Daphnia pulex: one gene and its partner. The protein of the gene in region 1 purifies or fractionates together with the protein of each later gene. This does not show direct contact. Links are inferred from orthologs where the notes say so. Each region holds a gene or a part of one and is shown on either strand. Other genes may lie near its edges.

Region 1 (2,638 bases):
AAAACATTATATTTCACGTTATCCGTTTTCGAGAGCGTGAAGAGAGAATATTTTGTTTTTGTTGACGAAAAATAAATCGGTTGTTGTTTGATTTTCTTTGGGGCTTGCGAAGCCAGTGGGGTCCTTCGTCAAAGTTATCAATTTAGTTTTCATTTGACAAGCGTGCAGAATTAAATGTACCAATTTATAAGAAACATTCAGTTTTTAGATTTAGGACTTTAGGAGTATGTAGGGCCTGTAGGCTCCTATTTTTATTGATAGGTATTTAGGTTTACATTGTGCGGAGAGCCAATAGCGTGGTCAGATTTTGGCGGTAGTTTCCTCTCTTAAGCTCGAAAGCAAAAGCTCTAACCTATAATAAATGACGATTTGCAGCATGCATAACGACCATATGATAACTTATTTTATTGGGTAAACTATTTCTTTTAGATATTTAACACAAAATATTGTGTTCCCAAACTAAGTCTGAAGACCATTTTCATAATCAGACTTCAAATTCAACAAAAAGCACAATTGCAAGACCAATAATGTATTCGATTCAAGAATTTGAATTTGAAGTCGCTTTGACGAACCTTAAAAAAGCTTAGAATGTAATAAATTGAAGGAAAGAAATTAAAGTAGAATATAAATGTAAAATCTAAAAGATAAAGCGATTAAGCTACATAGAATATAGACATTCATTGGCGATTTCCCCAACGTTAGTACTCATAGCGAAGAACGTTTAATTCACTCCAAGTTCCAAACTCTGAAGTTGGCTAAAACCCTATTTATCTGCATGCACCACAACTGACGCTCTTCTTTCAAGTCAGCGGAAATCAGATGGCGCAGGGCTGTTTGATTGGGATAGCATGTCATAACCAACGAATCCTAGAAACAAAACAGAAAAAATGAAATCGAAAAGTTCTCTTAAACTTCAAAAAATAATAACTTGAATACTTTGTCCGTGTTCTCTACAGGTCTGACAGTGATGAGCAAAAATGTGTTTGGTCGAGCGCAAACGTCATTAGAAACTATATCGACGTGCTCCGTTATGCATTTCCTAAGATTGATGGAGTATTGGGGTTCCTATTGATACGCAACATTCCCGATGAAATATATAACCCAAGACATATGCGAAAATAATATAGTTCTTGAACAACCTTAAGTTTCTCATCGTCAGGGTATTTCCAGAAGAGCAATTGGTCGTTCGATAACAGACACCATCTCCTATGCCACGCCCCGAATCCACCAACATCTTCGAAAACGGTTAAAAAGCCACGTTCTTCGATCAGACTCTCAGTGTGGCTTTGGATTTTTAACTGGAGCGTTCCATCAATAGGAGAAGCAACTGGTACTTTCTCTAGTGACCACTCTCGCCTCCTCAAACTTGTTGGTGTAATGTTGGTCACTCCTACTAATCCAAAACTAGAACTACGTAGATTAGCCGTAGAAGATCCACCTGAAACTGACAGTGGTGTTCTCGGCATTCCACGACTATCCTGAAACGTGGAAAAGTAACTTGGTTATTAAACGTCTTTAGACGGGTATTAAATTCGAAAAACATTTCAAATAACAAATTTCTTTAAAATCTTTAACAGTGTGCATGCTTACTTGTTTCGAAAGTTTTTTTGGAGTTAACCGCATTTTGCTATTATCCTTGCGAATATGATATTTAGTTTCGTGATTCATCTTTTCTTTCCATGTTTGCAACGCATAAACTTCAATCACTACATCAAACTCTGCAGGAAGATTTCTCAGTTGCACCAAATTGGGGAAACGCAACACACCATCCTTTTAAAAGCAAAACTTAGCGAATGGAAAATATAAAAAAGAAAAAACAAAGTATTTTTAACCTGGATTCCGTCTACCGTTGACAGCATTTGCAACGGAATTACTTGGCCTCGGCTGCGTATTAGCACGATGAAATAATGTACAACATCACCTAAAAAAATATAATTGTCATTAGATAGAAGCACACTTTTATTAGATGAATGAGTTTATGTACCCCCGCCTTTCTTAAGCATCGATAAAAAATCTTTTTTAAGTGGAAGTCCAATATTGCTGAATGACAGAGTGCCGCGAGAAGCTAGTTTGTTTGAAATCACTTTCATGGCTGCTTCACTTTTTAACCTCTGAATTTCATTGATAGCTGCTTGCTTTTTCTGGCCTGAATAAAGTAATCAAATGAGTGAGGAAAACATTCGTTAAGCCGCTTATAACGATAACCTTACTGGAAATAAGAAGCAGTTTTTCTCCTTCGACTTGCTCAGTGGAACCAGAGAACTCGGCAGTGGCTCGACATAGATTTAAGGCTTGAGAGGCTTGAGCCATAACACTTTGTTGAGTAGAGATCTAAGTAAGAAGTCAAAATATAGGGTGCGAAAGTAAGAAATAGTTTTAGAGTATCTCATACCTCTTCTTGAAGGGTGCGAATTTGCTGTTGAACAGAAACTTCAAGTGATTCATTTGACTCATAGGTTTCATGCCGTGAAGCTACTTGACGAACTTCTGGGTTCCGTACAATCTGTTTCATTGGCGTAAACGTCTTTTCCTATGACAAAAACAATGAATCTTTACAAGTTAATAGTTGAAAAAATCATTAAAAAAAGATTTTACCTTTTGCTGGCGATAAGAACTAACGGAATGAAACAATGAAATG
Region 2 (4,019 bases), on another chromosome or scaffold:
TCCCACCCGCACCTGTCTGCTGTCCTTTTTTTTCTTAAAAAAATTCCCAAACAAACCATTCAGAGATATATTTATTTGTCGACTTTATAGCCATCGAGTGCGAGCACCGCTGGCGCTACTTGCGGGACCGGTACACGCGGGAGCGCAAGCGCAAGTCGCAGCAGACCAACGGCTGCAAATCGGGAGGCGGAGGCAACTGGCCGTTGGCTTCTCAAATGCATTTCATCCAGGATTTTATCAAACACCGCAGGTACAGTAGAGAGAGAGAGAGCACGACTTTTTCTCACACACGTTTTTCTTCGGTAGTTTTGTCTTAATAGTTTCTTTGACTCGGTTGGAAAGTCTCATGGCCTTTACGAGCAGTTGCCTGCGCTGTTTACTACTGATAAAACGAAAATAGACAAGTGACGATGTTTTTAAAGCTGGGAATCAATAGAATATTCATCGGCGATGATTCTTTTCCTTTCCTTTCCTGGGGGGGGGGAATTTTGTTTAGTTTCAAATTCAAGGCTCGCGGGGGCGGCGGTGGCGGCAGCAGCGGCGGCCAGCAGGAAGCGACGTCTGATGGTACAAACACGCCACGAGGTGCCCGCCAACAACACGTCAAGGTAACAAACGCCAGACTTTCCTCAATGATTGAAAGAGTGGCTGGCTTTATCATTCGAACGGACACACACACACACGATAATCCTATCTTTTCCTATCTCTGACAGTCTGAAGGTGATAATAATCATACGTCGTCGGATGAAACTGACGGGCCAGTTTCGCCGGGATTCGATCAGCAAAGTGCCGCAGCGGCCGAATGCTACCCCATGGTCATTATCGAGGAAACAGACGGGCACCATCACATAGGTCCACCTCGCTCAGGCACACCTTCAGATTACCTACGAGGAGGAGGAGGTGGAGCGGTTGATCACCACCACCATCACCACCGGTAAAAACAACCCAAAACTCAAAATTGAATTTAAAAAAAAAAAGAACTGCAGAGGCAGCACAAACCCTAAAAAAGAATCGGCTACCATATAAGGATTATTATTATTTTGTTGTTTTTCCCATTTTCTGATATTGAAGGTCGTCAGCGTTCAATAACGGCGGGAGCACAAGCCCTCGGATGACGTACAACGAAGATGAACTCTTCTGTCTCTCAGTGGCGCAGACACTGCGACGTCTGCCGCTAATGCGCCGATCTTTGGCCAAAGTTCAAATCCTTCAACTGATACACGATATGGAATTCGGGAGTCATTCCTAAACTGAAACACACATTTTCGGTGGGGGCAAAAGATTGAACGCCACTTGAAAAAAAAACTATTCCCCCCTCCTCGTCTCCTGTTCTTCTCTTTACTTTATGAATACATGTTTACATCTCAAGTGGTTAGTGTGTATCTGGCAACTCTGTGGGTCGTGATAAAAGGTGTGCGCATATAGCCAGTAGAAAAGAAAAAAGAATCGGAGCCAAGAATAGCGATGATGACTTTTCTCTCTCTCTCTCTCTCTGAACCCTTCGCCCCGTGGTATAACCGTGATTCCTTCCAGACATTCTTCACGGTCAACAAACACACACACACACCTCAAAGAAAAACCCCCCTTTCTACTGGGTACAACAATAACACCTGTGCAGGAAATCCGGACAAGATCCAGCCAGCCGCAACAGCAAGTAGTTAAGACAATAAAACACAATCAAATAAAAAGAGGCCTCCTTTTTCACAGTTCACCGAGACACTGGCGGAAAATGATAGTTCACTTTTGCACCACCAGAACAAGTCGGGATGAAAAAACCAAAAAAAGATAAGCAGCAGCAAACACAAACAATTTGGTAACGTCTAAAGTCTCTTTCGCTTGAGACTTGAAGTCGGAACGACCGTTCCGATTCAACTGACCGGCGGGATTGAGAGCGCGCGCCATAGTAGCACGCCGCCCGTTTTGACTAGTGGCGCCTCTAGCGGGACAAGATAAACCAACCCAGATTGCCGTTTTATAACACTCTCGCTTTGAATCTATCGACTTAAAAACCAAGAAAAATAAAACCAAAAAAAAGAGTGACACTCACCACTTTATGTCAGGAACCACGTGGGGGCGATGATGTCGATCGATTATTTAATTTAAAAAGAAAACAAAAACAAAAAAATAAAAAAAGATGAGTCTCTAGATCCACTTTCAATCAGGGCGTGTAACACTGTGACCAAGGATAGAGATTTTCAAATCAATTCAAATATGCACGCCAAAAGAAAGGGGAAAATGCTGGAATCCGGTTTCGAAACGAGCCGTCTCGAATATCCCCACCCTTCAAATACGCCCAGGTTTCGGCCAGTTGTATCGAAAAATGTTTTTAACAAAAATGGATCTGCCAGACTAAAAAGTGAAGGCTTTCAAGAAGGCCACTGACAAGTTGCACATGCCGTTTCCTTGGCTTTTTATTCTTTTGTCCAGCCATCCATTTTTCTTTTTCGTTACAACCGACTTGACTGTTTCCAAAAGACTACAGCACTCGACAGAAATAATTTGGCTGTGTGATTTCACAGAAAAATGGGGAAACAACAACTTACCGCTCTTCTGCATCGTTGTCACAGCAGACACACACACACCACTCGAGATGGGGGCAAAAACGGTTGCTTCTTCTTTTTTCTTCTTTCTCTCCTTGTAGTGGCAGTCACTGTTGCTTTTCAAAAACGGGAGTGGAGCTTGGAAACCCGCGTCAAGATTAGGAATTTTCGTCACAGCCAACTGCCAAACACACACACACCAGTTACTTTTTAGTTACACACAACGTGAAGGAACACTGGGCAAATGTGTATGTAAACGCTGTGGGGAATCAAGTGAGAGTTGGACGAGCGTCTGCGACCCAAACGCCATCTAACGGTGGAATTTCGTACTCTATTGTAAAAAAAAATGGGAACCCATTGTTCGGCGGAAAAATCTTGATTTTGACAATGATAAATGCCTCGGAACGAATTGGATGACGATGTTTCGTAAATTAGAAAGCTGATAGCCACAGAATCTTATTAGGGAAACAGAACGTGAATCCCCAACATTTTCATTACCGTCAATCACATTAGGCGTTTACGAGTTTTTCTTATTTCAAAGTGCAATAAGGTCATAATCTGGGTTGTGGTCAAATTTCCTTTCTTTCCCTTCGCTGCGAGCCTGAGGAGCGATAAGATTCCGGATGAAGAAAATCTGATAAGACTTTTTTCTCCGCACATGCTGTACACGTTACTTAACCCAAAGAAAAAGGTTTTTTAGAGACGGAGAAAAGTTATCTTGAAATCAAGCCAAAACTTTTAGGAAGAAAATTGTTCCTAGAGAAAAAAGTTCCCAAAGAACTTTGTCAGCAGTTAGCTCCCTTAAATAGGAAACGAAAGGGCTGCAATATTCAGGAGAAAACGTCCGAGTGAATTAATTATTACGACATTTTCATGTCAATAATGTCGTGTTTTCATAGCTTAAAATGAATGAGCTTGCGTCACGCACGAGAAAATACTCGAAAAATATAGGAAAGTCTAAATAAGGAAGGCTGCATGGCCATATTCTACCCATATTTTGGTTCTTATGGACAATGGTCTCTGTGATCAGACCTTCCCGACCATGAAACAATAAAACTCATTTTCAGCTTTTAAAAATTCGTTTTTGAGATGAAATTTCATTGAACAATGTGCTTTAATATAATTAAAAGCATTTTATTATCTATTCTTTTTCCTACTGATCCGCACAAACGAATTAAAAGTAAAAGAATCACGAAAATCGGACTTGCGACGACGAATCGAATTGGAGGAAGATGATATAAGCAGACTAGATTGACTATTGTTTCATTACATGTGCTCTTATTGTTCCATCAACCATGGGTTCTAATAGAAATATCAGCAACCACTTTTTCGCAGCTGTGAGCATTGGCTCAGAACTTGAATTGCGTGAAATACTGGAGGCGGAAGGACGGGAAATTACGATCGATGCAGCCCAATCGTACAATGAACAGGGGGAAACTCCGCTACTGGTGGCCATCCGCCGCAAACACATCGGCGTCG

The links. Proteins that work in one complex are often made in the same cells at the same time.
Region 2: the proteins of anillin-like (region 1) and septin-7-like purify together in Drosophila melanogaster (affinity purification with western blotting; 3 studies listed by BioGRID, with this or other methods). This does not show direct contact. The link is inferred for Daphnia pulex from reciprocal best matches to the Drosophila melanogaster genes scra and pnut.

The regions. Positions count from the first base shown.
Region 1 is NC_060019.1:5,223,582-5,226,219, forward strand, and holds the end of anillin-like, read right to left. Parts: coding exon 2,596-2,638; intron 2,531-2,595; coding exon 2,393-2,530; intron 2,332-2,392; coding exon 2,211-2,331; intron 2,147-2,210; coding exon 1,985-2,146; intron 1,922-1,984; coding exon 1,833-1,921; intron 1,771-1,832; coding exon 1,591-1,770; intron 1,479-1,590; coding exon 1,140-1,478; intron 1,066-1,139; coding exon 937-1,065; intron 868-936; coding exon 727-867; 3' UTR 514-726; downstream 1-513. UniProt on the Drosophila melanogaster protein: Required for cytokinesis. Essential for the structural integrity of the cleavage furrow and for completion of cleavage furrow ingression and proper formation of the midbody.
Region 2 is NC_060017.1:3,484,936-3,488,954, reverse strand, and holds the start of septin-7-like, read right to left. Parts: upstream 2,807-4,019; 5' UTR 2,544-2,806; intron 2,050-2,543; 5' UTR 2,048-2,049; intron 1,904-2,047; exon of another isoform or gene 1,611-1,903; intron 1,369-1,610; exon of another isoform or gene 1,250-1,368; coding exon of another isoform or gene 1,072-1,249; intron 935-1,071; coding exon of another isoform or gene 714-934; intron 609-713; coding exon of another isoform or gene 497-608; intron 251-496; coding exon of another isoform or gene 91-250; intron 1-90. Other genes in the region: transcription factor Adf-1-like, read left to right, coding at 91-250, 497-608, 714-934, 1,072-1,249; protein fem-1 homolog A-A-like, read left to right, coding at 3,836-4,019. UniProt on the Drosophila melanogaster protein: Involved in cytokinesis and possibly cellularization. Also acts as an enhancer of the sina gene, thus having a role in photoreceptor development. May be involved in p53-dependent apoptosis.